Linked DNA regions of Medicago truncatula. The protein of the gene in region 1 interacts with the protein of each later gene in a biochemical or structural test. Links are inferred from orthologs where the notes say so. Each region holds a gene or a part of one and is shown on either strand. Other genes may lie near its edges. The genes, in order: phytochrome A; protein FAR-RED ELONGATED HYPOCOTYL 1; nucleoside diphosphate kinase 2, chloroplastic.

Region 1 (7,057 bases):
GGATAAGAGTGGATGGGAGGAATGTTTGAGAATTTAGATGATTTGCCCACTCTCTCTTGGACGACAAAGGTTATAGCTGCTGGCTAGTAAGCTACCATATGGCAATGTTGATCCCGTATGTTACTGTTTATAAATCATGATGTGTCTTAATTTTATTATTTGAAAGAGATGTGTCTTAATGCATTTATACTTGGAAAATGACATAGATGACTGGTGGATGATCCCGGAAAATTGACTTTGTTCTGCTTATAATTTGACTTGATACCAGTAAACGATTATACTACTATTGTTCATTTGGATTTTGGATTAGTCGACCTTTGAAGTTTCAAAAAAGAAAATAACCGTCTTGCTAAAGTCGTTATCATCAAAACTAGTACGTACCTTTATCCATTAATTGGTTGTCGTCTTGTCGATAATAGTAGTTATCATGGGCGAATTACTAACGACCTTGACGTTATTACTTTTTAGGTTCGTTAAATAAATGATGTATGTGATCTATATTAAAGGTCACATACATCACTTATTTAATGAATTTAAAAAGTAATTTTTTTCCTTTTAATTGTGACTGAAGAGAATACTTTTTTTTATTCATCGGTTCTTGCATTTACCTATCACATTTTGCTACCAACATTCAATTTTATTGTCACTTAAAAAACATTGAATTTTTGTATTGTGATGTGGATTAATTCCTGTCAGTCCCATTTCTTTTTTGATGAATCTAAGTAAATTTCACCAAATCAATAATTTAACTTCCTTTACATTCTTTTTTAGTTTCACAATATAAAGGTTGTGATTTTGAATTTAATTTAAAGACTGATCTAATATTTCTTTTTGTCCATAAAATGAGTGGTAAACGTCATCTAAACATTTTTGTTTAACAAACAAAAATGAGATATATTACCACAATGAAACGGTTCTACTATCTAGCACAAGGAGTGCATAGAAGAGCAGAACAAAAAACAACAAGCATCTTGAATAGTACAAAAAAAGACAGTCAACCAATGCCCAAACATGCAAGAGGTTGCTGCCACCACAAATGGTAACCAAAAGGAAAACAAACTTTTTTGGCTTTCAGCCAATTCCATGAAGTAATTTTGACCTTTTCCATGAGCTGCATAATAGATGTTAATTTGTTGGAAAACAGTCTGTTATTCCTTTCAGTCCAAAGCACATAAACCGTGAATAACCAAATAAGCTGCAAAAACGATCGTCGGATCGGGGTTTAAAACCTCCCGAAGAGTAAGCAAATTGGTGAAAATGATCCATAATATGTTGGGGATCCACCGTATCCACTCAAATCCAAGTTTTTACATGATGCCATAACTCACCAAAAGTCGGGCAGTGAATTAAAAGGTGATTTGTTGTTTCGTTATTACCACAACCGAACACACATAAATGAGAATCAAACGGAATAATACCACGTCGCACCAAATTATCCTTTGTAGGCCACCTGTTGCGAAGAAGTCACCACACACAAATTGAAATCTTCAAAGGAGCATTTTTATGCCAAATTGCGTCAATAACTTCATCGTGATTATGCATCTCCTGCCTCATAAGCATTTGATACACACCACAGACTGTGTATCAATCTACCACATTAGGACGCCACTGCCATATATCAGTAGTAGTTTCCTGCAAAATAACATTAGAAAGCAAAGATATACATTCCTTCATTAGGTCCTCCTCCCAAGCCAACCACCTACGCCGCCACCCCCAAGCATCTCCACCTTCCTCCCAACCTAATAAACACATTTCCGCCACCGTCTTTTCCTTATAAACTGATAAATCAAACAACCTCCTAAACCTGTCCCTAAGTGGGACCGCCCCCACCCAACAGTCGGACCAAAAATAGGTTTTAAAGTCATCTAAACACTTACACACACAAAATATTAAGGCTAATTTAATTTATACATTGTCGATTGAGTTGGGTCACATACAAAATTGATTTGATCTAATCAATTTGAAAGGAACATACATGATTTATTCACTATATATACTCATTTATTATAAAAATAATAGGCAAAATTACTCTCATCATCCATTAAGTTAATTTGAAATAACAATTTCATTTTTTATTTTTTTCTCACGTTATTTTCGTTCTTTTGGTCAATTGGCATATAAATTTTCAAGATTCAAATCTACGATTTTATTTCGATATGAACCCTTACTCAAATATATAGTTCTTTACTCATGTTTTTTTTTTGTCAAGTAGCCTAGTAGTTAGAATTCACATTTTTCAAGGTGAATAAGTGGGGTGTCTAGGGTTCGAACTCCGGCCCTAGCATATAACAATGCATGTCCTTGTCAACTAAGTTATGCTTACGGTGACATTTTACTCATGTTTTTGTTAATAAATTTTAAATTAGTTGATCATTTTTTTAAAAAATACAATGTTTTTTAATAAAAGTCAGACGGAAATATTGATAATGAGCTGGCCCAAAGCTCAATTCAATAGACCAGCCCCATCCCATTTTTATATGGGCAAAAAATGTTCGAGTACATTTTAGATTAGCTTTTTAAACCTGTCCCAACCCAAAATGTCGATTAATGGACTGACCTATTAACTCGTCCCATTTTTTACATCTCTATTTACATAAAGATAAACAACAAGAACTTACCAAAGAAGAAATGTAAAATAAAATAAATTAAGAAACCGAATTTTTATTTTTATTTTTTATAAAAAAAAAAAAAAAAAAAAAAGGAAGAAATCTTAAAGGATAGGAAACCCGAAACCGATTAATAATGCAGTTGAGTAGTATATATGGAGGCATTTCCTTTGAGTCAGTAACGTTACAGTGGTACACGAGGCATGGGCTAATTTGATGAAAGTTTATTTATGTCAGACAGATATATTAGCTGTGAATGTGATCTAAGAGATGAATGTGATATCGAGATATAAACAGTGTCCACCAATTAAAAACAAAGGATATGATGACATGGCATTTGTGTTACTTACTTAGCCGCATATCACCAAAACTTTGAGCCTTTGCACGTGACACCCATAACTTACTCCTTTCTCCATATCCAATGTATGGGACTTGGACCCCATCCAACCAAATTCATCCACCTCATAATTAAATAAAAATTTTATTAATAAATATCTTAACTTTTTTCCACTACTTTTCTTTAGTTAGCAATTTTTTATGTTTAATTATTGTGGGTGGGGAATTAGGACTTAAAACTCAATGATTTATGAACCCTACATGTACCAAAAAAATAATTATTGAACATTGTACCAAAGTGGTGTTAAAAGAATTGACAATATGATTCTTTTTAGGAAAAGAAATTGAGTTTAACTTCTAAAATTGTTCATATAAGAGGTAACACATTTAGATAAAAATATAGATGTTTTTTTGTCGATTTGAGAATGCGGTAATACGACACGCTTACAAGTTAAATATTGTTAGAAAAGCTATCTATTTAGGAGATAGCATAATCTTGATAAAAAAAAATGCAAATACTTTATTGCGAGAGTTAAGTAATACGATGCACTTACGAGTTAAATATTGTTTGAAAAAGTCGTCTATTTAAAAGGTAGCACAATCTGATAAAAAAAACATATGTTTTATTGCGAGAATGTGGTAATACAACGCGCTTATAAGTTAAATATGGTTAGAAAAAAGTCATCTATTTAGGACGTGACACAATCCTAATAAAAAACAAATGCTTTATTGCGATAGTCCGGTAATACGACGAACTTACGAGTTACATGATTAAAAAAAAGTTAATGACCCCTATTAAAATAAATTTAAATTAAGAGCCGACATGAAATCTAAGATGGTAAGTGAATTGAGTGATGTTAGAGAAAAAGGAAGGAAAGTCAAGGAAGCAAGCAGTAACAGTAACTACCATGTTTGTTGTTTAATTAAGTGTATGTGTTATCATGCATTATTTAACTTTCTTTTTTTTCTTATCTATTTTAGGAACAAAGCCAAACAATCAACTTGCCCAAATTAGATATTTTTTTACATATACTATTATAATAATAAAAACAGCACCAAGTAGATGGATGCTGGTGTGATGAGTGAATCTATCTAAGTGTTGGATGATGATTTGATTTTTATATTCTTTATTTATCTTTATTCATTTCATTCCTTCCCATCTTCACATGGGGGGCACCATAAAAAATTGATATATTATATAGTATTTATGGCATGATGGCGGTCCCTTCTCAGTCACAATTGTGTGCTGAATTATACTGACCTTGCTTGGTTGGAGTTGTGAAGTAGAGGCTCCAGCTGGGTGGGAGACAAACAAGGGCGGTGCTTGCTGCTGCTGCTGCAGGTGCAGGGTATGGTATGGTAGTCACATACAATTGGTTATTTTAACCCTTCCTTTCTTGTACTTACTCTTTCACATCAACCAAGTTTTTCCCTTCCAACAAGGTTAGTTAGTTGTTATTTGTTCTTGTCTTGTTGAATTTGCTTCATGTGTTTCTGTTTTGTAAAAGGAAAGAGATACAATTGTTTGATGATTGTAATGATGGATTTGTTTCTGACTTGTTTGGTGTCATCATTGTTTATAGAATCAACTGACAGTACTAATCAATTTTTTTCTGAAAGTTATGATTATTAATGATTACAACCAATTTTTATACTGTCATCTTTCACTTGATGTGTGAGTTTTGTTTATTTTCTTCTATGATTGGGTCACAACTCAAATTATAACTAATTAAAACCTTACATAATTGTTAGTATTATGATTGAGAGTGCTGATTGAACCCTTAACATGTTTTATGAGGAGAGTTACAATTACAAAGATTGACATTCAAGTAAATTAGTAATAGACTTCAAAAGTTCTGCAGTATCACATATGCTCAGTGATGATTCTTATATGGTTTGGATTAACTCGGTAGTTATGTTGTTGTTTTTTTTTTTTAATCATTGTAAATGCAGTTTGTGATAAAATGTCGACCACAAGGCCTAGCCAATCATCCAACAACTCAGGGAGATCAAGAAATAGTGCTAGGATTATTGCTCAGACGACGGTAGATGCAAAACTTCATGCAACTTTTGAGGAGTCTGGTAGTTCCTTTGACTACTCAAGTTCGGTGCGCGTCTCTGGCTCAGTTGATGGAGAGCATCAACCGAGGTCCAACAAAGTAACAACAGCTTACCTCAATACAATACAAAGAGGCAAGCAGATCCAGCCTTTTGGTTGCTTGCTAGCTTTAGACGAGAAAACGTGCAAGGTTATTGCATACAGTGAGAATGCACCCGAAATGCTGACCATGGTGAGTCATGCTGTCCCTAGTGTCGGTGACCACCCTGCCCTTGGCATTGGAACTGACATAAGAACTATCTTCACCGCACCGAGTGCTTCTGCGCTACAGAAGGCACTGGGATTTGCGGAGGTTTCGCTTCTTAACCCTATCCTTGTTCATTGCAAGACTTCTGGGAAGCCATTTTATGCGATCATTCACCGTGTTACAGGTAGTTTGATCATTGACTTTGAGCCAGTGAAGCCTTACGAAGTTCCCATGACTGCAGCAGGCGCATTACAGTCTTACAAACTTGCTGCTAAAGCAATTACAAGATTGCAATCTTTGCCTAGTGGCAGCATGGAAAGGCTTTGCGATACAATGGTTCAAGAAGTTTTTGAACTAACGGGTTATGACAGGGTGATGGCTTATAAATTTCACGAGGATGATCATGGGGAGGTGATTGCTGAGGTAACAAAGACAGGCCTAGAGCCATATCTAGGATTGCACTATCCGGCCACAGATATTCCCCAGGCTGCGCGCTTTTTATTTATGAAGAACAAGGTCCGTATGATAGTTGATTGTCACGCAAAACATGTGAAGGTTCTTCAAGACGAAAAACTCCCATTTGATTTGACTTTGTGTGGTTCGACCTTAAGGGCCCCACATAGTTGCCATTTGCAGTATATGGCTAACATGGATTCAATTGCTTCCTTGGTTATGGCTGTAGTAGTCAATGACAGCGATGAAGATGGAGATAGCGCTGATGCAGTTCTCCCACAAAAGAAAAAGAGACTTTGGGGTTTGGTAGTTTGTCATAACACTACACCAAGGTTTGTTCCTTTTCCTCTAAGGTATGCTTGTGAATTTCTGGCTCAAGTATTTGCCATCCATGTGAACAAAGAAATAGAATTAGAATTTCAGATTCTTGAGAAGAATATCCTGCGCACACAGACGCTGTTGTGCGATATGCTGATGCGAGATGCACCCTTAGGTATTGTATCACAAAGCCCTAATATAATGGATCTAGTGAAATGTGATGGGGCTGCACTCTTGTATAGAAACAAGTTATGGATATTAGGAGCGACGCCGAGTGAACCTCAGATAAGAGAGATAGCTTTATGGATGTCCGAGTACCATACGGATTCGACTGGTTTGAGTACGGATAGCTTGTCTGATGCAGGGTTTCCAGGGGCTCTTAAACTTAATGATACTGTATGTGGAATGGCAGCTGTTAGAATAACTTCAAAAGACATAGTTTTCTGGTTTAGGTCGCACACCGCTGCAGAAATCCGATGGGGTGGTGCAAAGCATGAACCTGGCGAACAGGATGATGGTAGGAAGATGCATCCAAGATCATCATTTAAGGCTTTCCTCGAAGTTGTGAAGGCTAGGAGCATACCATGGAAAGACTTTGAAATGGATGCTATTCATTCGTTACAGTTAATACTGAGAAACGCGTCCAAAGATACAGATATGATTGATTTAAACTCAAAGGCAATCAATACAAGACTAAATGATTTGAAGATCGAAGGGATGCAGGAATTAGAAGCAGTGACAAGTGAGATGGTTCGATTAATTGAAACAGCAACAGTGCCTATTTTGGCAGTGGATGTTGATGGGATGGTCAATGGTTGGAATATCAAAATTTCCGAGTTGACAGGTCTTCCGGTTGGCGAAGCTATTGGAAAACATTTGCTCACACTTGTTGAGGATTCTTCAACGGATATAGTTAAGAAGATGCTTAATCTGGCACTACAGGGTATGTCTTTCTCCTTTTCCATCTTATTATCTTTACTCAAGCTCCTTTCTTTTCTTTGTTTTTCAAGCCTTAGGATTTTAATTGTTGATTTTGTT
Region 2 (7,516 bases), on another chromosome or scaffold:
AATTTACGCGCTTCAGTCTTAGAGACCTATCCGCAGGAGATAGAGAGATCGCGGAACAATTTCACAATGACAGGAACAATACAAGATCAAGCTCAATCACTCTAATTTTCTTTTCACAAAGTTGAGTTTATCTCACCCTTCACATTCTCCACATAGAGATATGCAATACAATTTATATAACCCCTTGAAACAAGCTGCAACTGAGAACAAAATAATGTAAAAACTTGTAACTAACTGCAACAAACTCTCAGAAGATGCAACATCTATATGTTTCAATTCTAGTTTATGTGATTGTATAAAAAGTTGCTCAAAATTCTAAATTAAATTCCAAATTTCAAAGAAGTTTGTTTATATCTTACTATAGACTCCAATTCATTTTAGTGCAGATACTCACAATTTTTACTTTAACATGATAATCTGAAAGATTATATACTACACAATAACCAAAAAAAATTTCAAATAATTTTCATTTATTCTTCTGCACATTGTCCACATTAAAATCTAGTAGAAGATAATTCGAGAAGTACAGCATCATCAAGGAAATTAATGCAGAAGGAAAATAATGCAGCAAACAGAGATGTGGGAAGGCCAGAAGAAGAAATCTTGAACTACCTTCTGAAAAGGTGAAAATCTTCATACAAGTAATATATACAACTTCCATTGTCAGAATCAGCGGTGTCAAATAGTGGCTATAGTTGCGCTATAGCGTATCAGATTTTGAACAAATTGTTATTGTTCTGCAACACACTAGTTTGTACAAAGTGTTGTTAAATAACAGCGTTATAGCACTGTAGTATAGCAGAATTTGAAGAAACCGCTATTTTCTGCATTCCACAATTGACAACACTGGTCAGAATTATATATAGATCTACCCCCTAAATAATTTCTGCTAGAGCATAAGTGCGGAAAAGTACTCCTCAAATTCTTGATCAATTGTCGGCGGCGGCGGCTTTGTACTTGATTCAGCTTCTGCATTTAAAACATTATCAAATGTGAGCCTAACATTTACTAACCGGAATTGTTTATCAAAGGCATGCAATTAACCAAGAAACTAATTTCACAAGTTCTAGCATGATCCTATCTCTCTCATATATAATGCATACCTTCGTTTAGTAACAATCGTCCAGATGAAAGGACATACTTGTCAGGATTCACGCCATTAGAAAAAAGAAAATCTTCAAATTCCTTATCTATAGATTGATCATCACCGCTGTCTTTAACATACTCTGCATATACCTGAAGATGCTCCTCCGGATTTTTGAATGCTTGTGAATCAAGATCATCATAGGATGAATATGTATTTGCACTATCTGCCTCAAGTTTGGCTTCTTCATTTATAGACATGGAAGTATCAGAGTCTTCAATAAAACTATTACTATCTTTGGCAGATTCGGGTTCGGATCTATCATCGAGGAACGCAACATCCATTCTGCTATTAACCGTGTGGTTGTTCGCACTACCAAAAATTGGACTTTCATCAGACATTGATGTATCTTCTGAAGAGAAACTCTCAACCCGGCATTTATGTTTTGGTCTAAGCATATCTAACTGAAAACCCTGTAATTTTCTTTTCTTGTTCCATTCAATAATGTTGATGTCATGCATTTCATCAACATGGAATCTGGAAACAGTTTTTGAAAAATGTCAGTTGAAAAGAAGAAAAAAGATAAATCATGACAATAATATAACAAATAATGGAATGAACATTTTACAACTTTCTCATCAGGGATTTGAACTTCGTCCCTTTAGGTTATAAAGTCAAACTCTTACCACGGAAGTGAGACCTCATAGACAAGATTTTTATTCAACTAACTTTTAACTCAGTTTAATCATGGAAGATCATTCCTTAACCTACAACTTTTCCTATGCTAAAATCAATTTATCAAGCGTGCGCTATGCATCGACAAACAAACAAAATAAGTGCACAACTGAGACAAGTCTTGCACGATGTTCAAACTTGTTTTCACCTTGATCAATAAGTGTTATTATTAGATCAAACGATATATGATGAGACATATTGATACAATGGTGAAAAACAAATCCGTGCATAATGCAAGAGTAATTTAATTGTGCACATTAGACAAAGCCAGTAAAACCCTATTAGCTTCTTTTGTGACTTATTGTGATCTGAAAACAAATAATAGCACCTCTAACTAGAAAAGTTCAATAAACTGAAAAAAATAAAATATGGTAATCTACAAACTTTCTTAGGAAGTAATCTAATTAGTGTGTCAAATGAAAAACTTAATCACTAATCATTTGAAGCATAAATGACAAACCAGAACATAAAGGTACCAAAAAAATGTGAATTTACAAGAGTCTCATATCAGACAAAAGATGGTATGAACATGTGTTTATGAGCCGTGACAATTCTCATCTCACAAGCCGGTTTTGTAGGGTTGTGTAGGATCCAACGATAGTTTCTAACATTTTCAAAATTCCACTACTATGAATTACAATACCAAATTGGATAAGATAAAGATAAACAATATCATCAAATCTATGACATATAATACAAGAAAAAGTAAAACAAACAGTGATTAAACACAGTAAAAAAACAAGAAAAATCTTGAACACCCCAGATGGAAAAACCTGTTAACTTGAGAAGGGATCTTTGTTCTTGCTTCAATCTCCATGAGTAAAACCAAGGACTGTGATGAAAAACCAAAACTAGACAAGGTTCTTGAGGTTGAGAGAAAGTGGAAAGGAAAAGTTACTTTAAGGATGCCATGCTGAGAATATCCGAGAATTTATCACCCACACTTTGCTCTGTCTTCTTGTTGTTTATTACCAAAATAGTGTCCATGGCGCGTGAGTTGCACATTTTTTAGGTTGGACTTTGGAGCAATTTCACGTGGGAAAGTATGGTTGAGGATAGGGTTTGATGGCCACTTGTTAGTTGTAAACATGGTGACGTGTGAGTTGTTCATGTGCAATGTAGTGATGAGTGTTAAATCATCTCTTATAATTTAAGGTTAATATATGTTTGCCTCCCATAAAAAATATGAGCAATGATATATGAACATCATTTTGATACAATCAACAACTCTTTTGCAATTTTTAAATATATTTTTAATGATTTTGATTTGCGTGCTTCTCACATTATCAAAGGGTGTTGCATTAGTTGTTCAATTTTGGTTGTACATATAATACAACTCTAAAAATATTTCTGTAGATTTTTTTTAAGCGACTTAATAGCTGGAGCTCACACATTTTAAATATGGATAAATAGGGTGTCAGAGGTTCGAATCCATACCCCTGCATAAATTATGCAATGTTCCTACCAATTGAATTAAGCTCACGGAGACAAATTTCTTTAGATTTCAACTCTGCAATTTGAAGATTATTTAGCTTTGGACTTTTATGATATCAAATTATAAAATTTAAAGTATTTTTATCCTCCTTGTAATTTGAGAGAATTTTGGTTTATCACATGTCATATCATGATTTTGTACAGTCAAAATTCATAAAGGTTCAAAAACACATAATCTTCAAATTACATTGTTGGAATCTAAAGAATTTTTTTTATAGGAAGATAAACCAGAAACTACTAATATTATAGAGAATAAACATATATTTATAATTTAACCAAATGTTCTGAGATTGAATCCAATAAAAAAAATGCAGAAATGTTAAATTTTTGAAAATTAGTTTTGTTATTTACTGGGGTCTTCTTGAATCTATTTAGTTGTGCACATATCATATATGATTCACACAAATATTTTAAGTTTGATCCCATAATCACGACTTAGATAGTAATTCTATGGATATTTGATATATTGAAACTTAGTTTATTGAATGTGAGTTTTGTCATTAAATTATTTGAAAAAACCACTCCCTTTGTATTAAAATAATCAAGTTATTTGTAAAAAGAAAAAAAATTCTCCTCAAATAAATGATTCATTTTACTTTTCAAAACAATATTAATTACTTTTTTTTTTCAATTATACTTCTAATTAATACTACTAACTTTATCACTCTAATTCAATACTTCGTATTTTGCATTTATGATAATTGTAAATGTATCAATACTCGACAAAAACATTTAAAACGATTTTAACTTCTTTCACTTATATATTTTTCTTAATATGTGTGAAATGATCAAATTATTAAGTTATTTTAGAAGGGCGAAGTATGTTTTATATTTTAGGTATCCATTGCATGATTTATTCTTACATTATTTAAATATAATTATAAATAAATCATTCTCACGTTGAAATAGGTGTTGACTGTCATTGAAAGCAAAAATTTGCATTTTTTAATATGAACTTCAGTGGTTAATGAACTTTATAGAAGGATTGATTGTTCAAAAGAACATGAGTTCTATTCTAAGGCAGAACAATTTTTAACCAAACTTTACTTACATTTCGATCGAATTTCGGATTGTCAAGATCCTTTTCCCTATGAACTGAAATGTTAACAAAAAAAAGGTGATGCAAGTTGTAACACCCTAATTTTCTATTTTTAATTAATTCAATGATGTTTAATAGCTGGAGTTTTGATTAATTTTATTGTTGATTGCTCTTGTGCTTGAGTATTATTTTATTGTTGAGAAAATAGAAATAATGACGTGGAGTGGGAAGTGGTTTGAGAAAATTAAATGCAACGAGGAGGAGTGTCCTAACAAAATAAATAAAGAGTCGTGGGTGTAGAAAGTAAGATTATAATAAGTGGGGGAGGGGAGAAGTAAAAGAGTAGTGTGATAGATTTTTAGTAAGTGTACTAAAAATGCATCGAAGTAATAAAATAAGTTCGTACACGAGGACTTTGTTAATCTCAATTTAGCAATATAGTAAATATTTAGGATGTATAAATTATTTTGTTTAGATTTGATTTGATGGCATAAAATTAATGACAGAAAATAAAGATTGGTTTTAAGAATAAGATAGATGAGTTTAGGTCTTTCGAATCATTGATGTTCCCCTAATTGATATACTGCATCTATTCTTATGAATGATTCACTAGTTCCACGATAATTAACCTAATATCACTAATAAAGGATTATTCATTCCTAGACTAACCATGTTTATTAGAATAATTCAATTAGGTGTAAGTCGAAAGCTAGGGTCAGTAGTCATTCGTTCTCACTAAATCATGTTTATATTTGATCAGAATATAAAAAGCATTAAGAACAATTGAATTGAATAAAAACTAGATTATCATTCACAATAAATAGAGTTTCGCAACAACATGTTTCAATTAGGGTTAAAAAGAATCATATCAGACCTAACTTCTAATGGATTTAGCTACTCATAATGGTGTTTACAAATAACATAATCATTAGAGGATTCAATACATGCATGAATTGGTAAAAGAGTGAAGAAATCGCCCTTATAGTCGTCTTGTAGTCTCAAAATCGCACCTTGCTTTATCCAAATCGTAACAAACAGCTGAATTAGGGTTTCTTAGAATCGTGTCACGTTTTTGCCATCGTGACACGTTTTTGCATTCCAGAGAACATGTTTTTGGTCTTCTCAAATCGTGTCACGTTTTTGGCAAATCGTGACACGTTTTGCTTCTTTGCATTTTCCTCAGTTTTTCTCATCTTTTTGCTGCATAATTGTGAACTCCAATTTGTGCTCAGTTTACACATAAAATTACGTAATTACGAGATGTCATCATAGTGCGTAGGAAAGGAAGACAATTATAGCGAATGGTGAGCCCAAATATAAATAGGAATATTAGGGATTAGAAATCAGTTTTTCTAATCAGAGAAAAGGGAGAAGAAAAGCAGACAGAGAGAAGCGGAACCCTAGTGCAACAACATCGAGCCAAACCGAAGGTTTCTACGGATTCGAGGTAAGGGGGAGAATCTCTTCATCTCTAGGGTTTAATATTGGCTTGTGGGGATGTAAAGGGGTTATAGTAGGAGTGTTGTTATGATGGTGATGAGAGCGTTGTTGAAGTTAATTAATTTTAAAGTTATGATTGTTGTTATGAGGAGGAGTTTCACTAAAAATTATGATGAACTGATGTAAAATTGTTGTTCAAAGAGTTTTGTTAAGATAACCTAGTTTAGAGATTATAGTTAAGACCATGACTCTGAACGAAAGTAAAATTGGATAGGTTAAGAGGGAATTAATTCTCAAACAATAGGGTAAACCTAGAGTGATAATTAGGGACAATTTGGGTGGGTAGGGATTGAGCTAAGTGAGTTAAAAGTGATTAATTGGAAGAAAACGCAATTTTGAACTGTTTTTGGTCGATTGTCTGTCAGCCAAAATCGGCCACCAATTTTGGTTCAAAATTTTAGTGTTTTGATTCGACAAAAATCGGGCCCCGATTTTGGAAATTCGGTCCCCGATTTTGTCAGCCCAACTTAACAAATAAAAACTGTTTTGTTTAACCATTTTCCGTTTTGAACTGGGTTTTGGTGTAAACACAAAAGTTGTAGGTATATGTCTTAGCTTTCCAATGGCTTTGGTCTCACCTCAAGAAGACATCCAAAACGTTAGTTAAGATCGAAATACTACACAGGGGTCAGCACGGTCAAGCGATCTGCCTAGGTTCAGGGAAGCCAATCTTTCCACGCTTCTCTGTACATAATTGGATTTAGGTTTATTCATGAAAGATGTAGATAAAGGTGTTAGATTTAATTTACCATTGGATGGAATCCATTAGTCCCTCTAGAACTTGAGTTATGATTTAAACACCGCACCTGGATCATGATACGTTGTTAATGAAATTTCAGTACAATCCTTTTAGTGGAATCTTCAACATCTATAAAAATAGTAGTGATTTTAAGAAAGCCATTAGTGTGTAAAGTAAATGTAATGACCTCTAAATTACATATATAGATGAGGGAGTGTGTTCGAGCATAAGTAGAAGTGCTTACATCAAGATAATAACAAGCTTAAATATGAACCGAAGATAATTGCCTATGAGAAATTAATAATTTCAAGATAACTTGGAAATAGGAAGTGAAAGATAATATGGATGACGCTACGAGGAATATTAGTAGAGAGGTAAACACTTAAATTAGAATGGAGAATAGGGTATATTATTAGAATGAAAGAGGTAGTAATGGAGAGAACGAATGATGAGAGTAGATTCCAAATTTAGTAATGAATAACAAAGGAATGTGATGTGTACATATGTTCGTGTAAGATGTTGTTTACTGATGAGAGGTTACTGTCGTATATATGATGAAGATATATGTTGAGATGACAATTTTTGAATGAAGATGATGAATGATGTAATAAATGATGTTTGTGAATGACGAGTAATACCGATGTCATATCTTGTTTAGGGTGACAAATAAATGATTAAGTGGGTTATGTTGCGAGTAGGAGTTAAAACATTGGACAATGTCAGTGGTGAAAATAATAGAGAGAAAAGATATCTAGTTAACTAAGGTTTACAAGATGAGACTTCAATAGAGCAAATAGTGTGGGTACGTGGTGAGTCTAAAAACACATGATTTAGTGAAAGGGGTATAAGACGATCATAAAAGTGGATATGAAGTAGGTGCTTTTCTGAGTAATTGATGAGGTTATACATAATCTCCTTAAGCCAA
Region 3 (7,193 bases), on another chromosome or scaffold:
GGGGTTCCACCATTTTGGTGCAGCCTTACCGTGTTTCTTACACAAGAGGTTGTTTCCTGGACTTGAACCCGTGACCTTTCAGTCACGTGACAACAACTTTACCTTGCACCAAGGTTGTTTCCAGGACAAATGCTTAAAACAACAAATGAAATTTAAAGCTTTATTTTGTATTTGTAATACTCTTTAAACCTGCTAATATATAAATTAACGGCACACAATGATATTCTCTTTTGCAATCCACAATCCTTTTTGTTGCATTTATTGGGTTAAACTGAATCCTGATACTATAAGAGGCCTTACCTATTTCACGCTCGCCATTTTCAGGGCTGTCACTGCCATGGATAACATTCCTGCCAAAAGTTCATCATAAGATCTTGTCAGTCCACATCCTCAAATCAACCAGAAAAACACACCCTATGAATCTTATTTTGATTCTTGACCAAGGCTCACAAAATTCACAAATCAGATGTGAAAAGTCCTTACCTTCCTGTTTCAACAGCAAAGTCTCCTCTTATTGTGCCTGGTTCTGCTTGCAGAGGATTTGTTGCTCCTATAAGCTTACGTGCTGATGGCACTACTCCAACACCCTCCCAAGCCTTGCAAACATAAAACCAGAAAGTACATTCAACAGGTATACTGTGAAACCCTCATTGAAAATGGGATACTAGTGGAAAGAGTTATACCATAGACACAACGGGGCCCGAAGTAATATATTCACTCAGCTTAGGGAAGAAAGACCTTTGATTTAGGTCCTTGTAATGCTCCTGAAACCATAAACAGTCACAATAAGCCATCCATGTGTAAATAGCAAATTAACAGTTGAACATAAGACAAACATCACAAACTGAACCAACATTATTGCAAACATAAGATGTAGGTCTATACTCTATATCATATTGGTATAGTAAGCAACCATGGTCCTCGTGAGCTTAACTCAGTTGGTATGGACAATGCATAATATATGCAAGGTCTGAGGTTCAAACCCCGGCCACCACCAAAAAAAATACTACCTCCGGTCCTTTTTATTAGAAACAAAAGTGAGAATTTTTTTGGTCCTTTTTATAAGAAGATTGATCAAGTTTCAAATATGTTTGAAGCTAAATTTCATTTGTGCCCTTATTGATTATGAGAGAGAATATTAAAAGTAAGTAAGTTGATGGAATAAAGAGTAATTAATTTAAGGGTATTCATAGAATTATTTTAAATGTAGAAGTGTATTAAATGAAGATGACTATTTTCAATGTAATTTCTTGGTGTTGATGTTTTATGTTTTTTGTTTCTTGTATAAAGGACCGGAGGGAGTAGTAAGCAACCATGAAAATATGGATACAATTGGATTTTGTAACTGGATGGTTGGAATTAGTTACTCAAGCACCTGATATTGTGACATTTCATGCAACTATACTCAATACTTTTATGGAAACATATTCAGAATAGTTCTAAAATACAGAGAATACCTTCAATGAACTTCACAATATGTCATGGATTCTAGTTGAGAAAGCAATACTCTTAGTGCTTTTCTTCATTTAATTAGGGTTAATAGGACATTGAGTTAATATTTTGCATCATACATCATACCAAATTAATAGATTACTACAGGTCTCCTGTCTCTCTTTTTGTCCTTCCCTACCTAAAACCCATAATTAGGCCATGGTATCCATCTTGAAGAGACTTTCTTGTACTATCAAGTTTATGGAACCAGACCCTGACATTCATGTTTGATCTCTTTTTGCTCTGCTCCGGCTAGTTTTAAAGCTGTTTAATTAACTCTGTTCCAATCCCCTTCTCACCACAGATCGACTACTTTATACCTATCTTAGAGCGTGTTGGCTCTACTCCATCTTGTTACGCAGATTGATTTTATTTAGGTCTTGTCTTTTATGCAGATTGGCTTTACTTGAAATCCTATTTACCTCCTCTCCAATTGAACACCCTTGCAACTGCATCACCCTAACAAGAGTGTCTCTCCGGATAACTTAAAGATTAACAATAACAAGCTATACCTTAGAGGGAGAGTGTTAACAATACATCACTATGGTATATCTTGGAGTATCTTAAAAGATATTTAGCGTATACTGTGTAATCAATAAGTTTGCTAATTGAGAAAGCAATCTTCTCATTTTACTGCTCTATTTAATAAGAGTCAATAATCTTATAGATGATTTTTATTATTATGAAAAGCACAATTAGGTTAAGCAGCCCATCATATTAATAATAGATAGTATTTATATCAATGTAATATATTGAACCCTGTCATTCTCCTTTACAAATTGAACCCCATATACAGCAAGAAAAATAAATTGAGCATAAGACATCATGGATATACAAACAAGCAAGTATTGAAGAAAGTAGACAAACCTCAGCTAATTCTTTAGAGCATTGAAAGAGCTTCAAGCCAATTAACTTAAACCCCTTCTTCTCAAACCTAGAAATAATTTCACCCACCTAAACCAATTCAACAAAACAACAATTATAACCTTAAACTTCAATTTTTTAATTTTTGTTTCATCCCTTAATGTCTGAAACCAGAACATATGAAATTAAGAGACTTACAAGACCACGTTGCACGCCATCGGGTTTCACCATAATATAAGTTCGGTCAACTTGTTCCTGCACAAACATTAAAAAAAAAAAAAATATATATATATATATATATATAGAATTACACACACAGAGTGATAATAAATTGAGCAAATTGGCGAGTAGAAAAAGAGAACATACGAGAGAAGCAATTAAGTGGGGAAGGAAAATGCCGGTATTGGTGGAGCTTTTAGTGCGGATGGTTTTGGCATAGGAAGAAGAAGTAGAAGATGAAAAAAGATGGGATTTAGAAGGAAATGCAGAAAGGTGTTGGGTGGTGCGTAATTGAGAGCTTCTTGTGTTTGTGTTTGAGGTGCGTAATTGAGAGGATGTGACATAGATACTATTGGTTCCGCAAAACACGCCCATGGCTTCCATTTCTCTTCTTCCTCTCTTTGCGTCGCGGCTGTGGAACAACGATGTTCTTTGGAGTTTGGATTTGGATGTGGCAAGTCAGAAAGAAAGCGACTTTGGTAATTTTTAAACTATACTACTGTTTTTTTTTTTTTTTTTTTTAATATAATGATAAAAATCAAAAGATTATCGAGAAAAAAATGATACAAAAATTGTTTTTTTTAGAAAAAAATAATGTAATTTTTTAACAAGGAAAGAAAGAATGTAATTACAAATTCTTCTGTCTACTTCAATTAATTATTATTAATATCAAGTTGATTTGATTATTATCCTTTTCAAAAAAGTTAGACACTAAATTCATGAATTTACCACTTGTCTTTTTTTTTTTTTTATTTACAGAATTTACCACTTGTCAATAGATGATAGTTTCTCTTTACAAATTCTTTTTTATTATTAAATAAATTTCTCAATCAATTGAAAGAATTGAGATTAACTTACGGTTTTTTTTTTTAGAGGTTGGAGGGGAGGGGAGTGTTTTGAATAAAAAGGAATGAAAAAGAAGATATTGGGGTTAATTTTTATTCATAACATATAATTCTTATAATTTTAAAGAACTGAAGAAAAAAAAAATGCATTGAGGAAGGGATTTGGAGTGTTTATATGAATTTTTCAAATTCAATATTTGTTGTTATACTAATATTTTTAAAATTAAAAATGTATTAATCATAAACATTAGTTCTCTTTAAAAAAAAAAGTGAAAAATTTCTTCATTTTTATATATATTTCTCATCCCTCAAAACACTCCCCTCCCCTCCCCTCCAAACTCTCAAACAAAGCTTAGAAATACGACTAGTTTAGGCGAAGGAAGAAGTAACGACTAACGAGATAAGAGCGACAAAGCGAGTACATGTTTTGTATATAAATGCTACCATTTTAACATTATATCAATAGACTTTTTTAGGGAAACATTATATCAATATTTAAATTATTAAATTTGGCATTTTATCATTTTATTTTAAAGATAATATATAATGACAAATATGAAAATTGTCTAAAATTTATTTTACCAATGCACCTTTGAGGTATATTTTGCGGATATGCCCACATTCCTCTATCACACTCTGCATTTGCAGCCCCTCCACTCTTGGCCACCTCAGGCCATGCTATCCATAATGAACTCTTTTTCTAGTACATTGTGTTTTAGAACACAAATATGAATGAAATTCCCTTCAAACAAAAAAAAAAATTGAATGAACTTAGTGCTAAAAGATAGGCTTGGATATACATATACCTACATGAAATAAATGGCCAACATTAACCAACAAATACAGGAATTTTTTGGAGAGAGTATTATTAAGTTCATTGAAAAATTGAATCAAATAAATGTTAGTAGGATTTACATCTCATCAAACTCCTACACATGTTATGCACACAACAATAATTAGTCATCACTTTATTTCTGCTCCATCTCAAGCAGCCACACCACACACAGAATTACATCAAAAGTTTTATTCTCGCCCTAAATATTTCAGTACTTTCACAAGCTACTAATATAGGGTCTTAAATTCACAACATGCACACAAAAACAAATTATTCAAACACATATAACAGCTTCTCACAGAACTGTTATTTATTGACAGAACTAAAAAGAGGTCATTCAGCATTTCCAGCAAGAAACTGCAACAATAGGCTTTGATTTCCATCCAAGAACCAAACACCCTTTCTCTTCCACAACAGTATATCCATCACAAACATTATTCTTCACAAGCCACTGCTTAGCTTGAACCACCATCTTAATAGGTGAACCTTGAAATCCAGCCCTACTCATTCTCCTCCTCCACTGATCAACTTTCTCATGCCTCTCCATCCTCAATGGTCCTTCACAGCTCACAATGTTCTTTATCTCCTCAGCAAAATAAAACTGTTCCATTTTTGCCCTCTTAGTGTCATACTTTGGCAGCATAGCATCCAATGAGTCAAAAATAGCAGAATAATAATGCAATGATTCCATAAACCTTCCAAGGAAAAAAGGTCCATTATGACCAGAATCTTGCTCAGCCATAACCAACACTTTCGGTGAAAGACCGTGTATCATTTGTAAAACCGCATTCAAAGCGCCACGACTCTCTTTAACAACACAATGCAATTGAAGAATGCTGTTAACCACAAGGACCTCTTTTTCATTCACTTTTATGTCCTTAGGTTTCAAATTCTCCAAATTCTTCTCAACAATTGAGAATTCCAAATGAATCCCCAAGTTTTTCGCGTAAATTGAGAGTTCTTCACCAATGACTTGGATTCTAGCAATGCATAGACCAATCGCTGTGATCCTAAGCCTCCGAACACGGTGGCTGGATCGATCCGCGAGACTTTGAATTAGTCCTCGCCATTGGTGTCCATGTGGAAGACCAAGGCTCATGCCAAGATCAACCACATGAAGAAAACTCTCACCCTCAAAGGCTTCCAATATTATGGAATTAGCCACAAAATGTCCAAATTGAATATGTGGACAATTTTCATAAACCAACTTGAATGCTTCTTCCATTTCTTCTGATGCAGCATCCATTATGTTCATCATTGATTTTGTATCTGATCCAGCAGAGTTATTACCAATTGGTTGAATCAGAGTTAGTCTCTCTGTGAGTCCTTGAACAAAACAAGAAGCAACTCTTTGAAACGAAGAACCAAACACCAAAGCATTTGATTTAAGCTCAGATAGTAAAACCGAAGCGTGTGATTTATCGCGACACGCGACAGCTTCAGCACATGCAATTAGAAGTTGAACTAGTCTCATTCCATCAGCACATGAACCATCTTCTTCAGCTTCGCAATTATTGTAGTTGAAGTTATCTTCTGCTGCTTCTTCAACAGCTTCAGAAGCAAAATATCTTTGTTTATAAGTTCTTATGTGATCTCTGAAATGAAGCCTTGGAATGCTATTCACACTGTTGTTATTGCTGTTGATGTTATTGAAGAAACTATTACTATGGCTGCTGAAATTAGCAAACCAAATAGGGATAGTTACGGTTGATCTTTTCAATTTCTTGTGATCCCTAATGGTTTCAGTTTCATGATCAGAAAATGGATTAAGGATCCATGTTGAAGTAGCACTGTTTTCTAAAATAGGCAAATTTGGATATAAAGAAGCATAGTAAGAACCCATTAATGATGGATTTTCATCTACCTCACATTTGAAGGTACTAGCATAAAGTGCAGGTGACATATTAATTTCTCAATTAATGTCTATAACACTTTATAAGTTTGCTTTCTAAAGATATTCAACAAAGCTCTGAAAGAACGTACATACAAATGATGGACAATTTATAGCAAAAATTACCTTGTTGACGTTAATAACAAGGTTTGCTTTATTATAATATTTTGGTACAAAATTAGAGTACGTAACATATGCTGTCAACTTCTCTTGTTGACGTTGAAATATAGCATAGCAAATTAAATTGAATTTTGATGAATAAGGGAATCTCAAGAGCGCATTGTTTCCGCTCCCAGGATATTGGAATTTGACAAACGGCATGCATGAGGTTATACTAATTAGTTGGTAAAGCATAATTTCTCAGAGAAAAGATAGGTGGACATCTAAAACTCTTTGACATCGTGAAAAAGAAAGAGATAATAGAGTGACGTTCAATTATATTGTTGATGTAACAGAAAGAGAGACAGAGAGATAAAATGAGGTGTTAAATAGAGATGTAAAGGAAATTAGAGATGTAATTGTATTATTTATTATTATAATTTTTTTTCCTTGGTACAATGATAATAAAATAGTACAGCATAATTTGTTGGCAGTTAAATAACGTTTATTTTTGTCGCTGTTGTCATGGTCAACAAAAGAACCGCGTCTACACAGGGTTTGGGGCATACGTAATTTCTCGTCCAGTGACGTAATAGCTACTAATGTACTCTCTCAGTCCTTGTAAAACTACATATACTCCCCCGGATTCCAACATTGTACACATATATTCTCCCGGCATTCCAACATCTACATTGTATACAAGAAAAAATACATGGTTTTGGTTGTCTTTTTTACTTTTAATAATACTCTAAAATAAATTTAACTATTAATATGTTATTTTCTTAGTGTTATTCAAAAAGATAATAATTTATATTGTATTTGTTACATTGTTAGTATCATTGAAAAAGATAAATATAGTTTGTTATAATATAAAAGCGTAAAATATCTATTATCTATTTATCTAAATATATCCCTCAAAAAAATAAAAATATTATCTAAACATATACTT

The links.
Region 2: the proteins of phytochrome A (region 1) and protein FAR-RED ELONGATED HYPOCOTYL 1 form a complex in vitro, tested with the Arabidopsis thaliana proteins (2 studies listed by BioGRID, with this or other methods). The link is inferred for Medicago truncatula from reciprocal best matches to the Arabidopsis thaliana genes PHYA and FHY1.
Region 3: the proteins of phytochrome A (region 1) and nucleoside diphosphate kinase 2, chloroplastic form a complex in vitro, tested with the Arabidopsis thaliana proteins (2 studies listed by BioGRID). The link is inferred for Medicago truncatula from reciprocal best matches to the Arabidopsis thaliana genes PHYA and NDPK2.

The regions. Positions count from the first base shown.
Region 1 is NC_053042.1:41,897,528-41,904,584, reverse strand, and holds the start of phytochrome A, read left to right. Parts: upstream 1-3,942; 5' UTR 3,943-4,385; intron 4,386-4,895; 5' UTR 4,896-4,906; coding exon 4,907-6,962; intron 6,963-7,057. UniProt on the Arabidopsis thaliana protein: Regulatory photoreceptor which exists in two forms that are reversibly interconvertible by light: the Pr form that absorbs maximally in the red region of the spectrum and the Pfr form that absorbs maximally in the far-red region.
Region 2 is NC_053048.1:29,068,544-29,076,059, forward strand, and holds protein FAR-RED ELONGATED HYPOCOTYL 1, read right to left. Parts: upstream 2,854-7,516; 5' UTR 2,637-2,853; coding exon 2,593-2,636; intron 1,622-2,592; coding exon 1,104-1,621; intron 970-1,103; coding exon 890-969; 3' UTR 581-889; downstream 1-580. UniProt on the Arabidopsis thaliana protein: Key regulator of far red / red (FR/R) spectrum-specific responses essential for the adaption to changing light conditions (e.g. de-etiolation), essentially by regulating PHYA shuttling from the cytoplasm to the nucleus and by directly regulating the expression of some target genes, depending on light conditions and phosphorylation status.
Region 3 is NC_053045.1:50,982,517-50,989,709, reverse strand, and holds the start of nucleoside diphosphate kinase 2, chloroplastic, read right to left. Parts: upstream 3,042-7,193; 5' UTR 2,959-3,041; coding exon 2,722-2,958; intron 2,611-2,721; coding exon 2,554-2,610; intron 2,446-2,553; coding exon 2,359-2,445; intron 765-2,358; coding exon 684-764; intron 597-683; coding exon 484-596; intron 351-483; coding exon 301-350; intron 1-300. Other genes in the region: GRAS family protein RAD1, read right to left, coding at 4,592-6,097. UniProt on the Arabidopsis thaliana protein: Major role in the synthesis of nucleoside triphosphates other than ATP. The ATP gamma phosphate is transferred to the NDP beta phosphate via a ping-pong mechanism, using a phosphorylated active-site intermediate. May activate MPK3 and MPK6.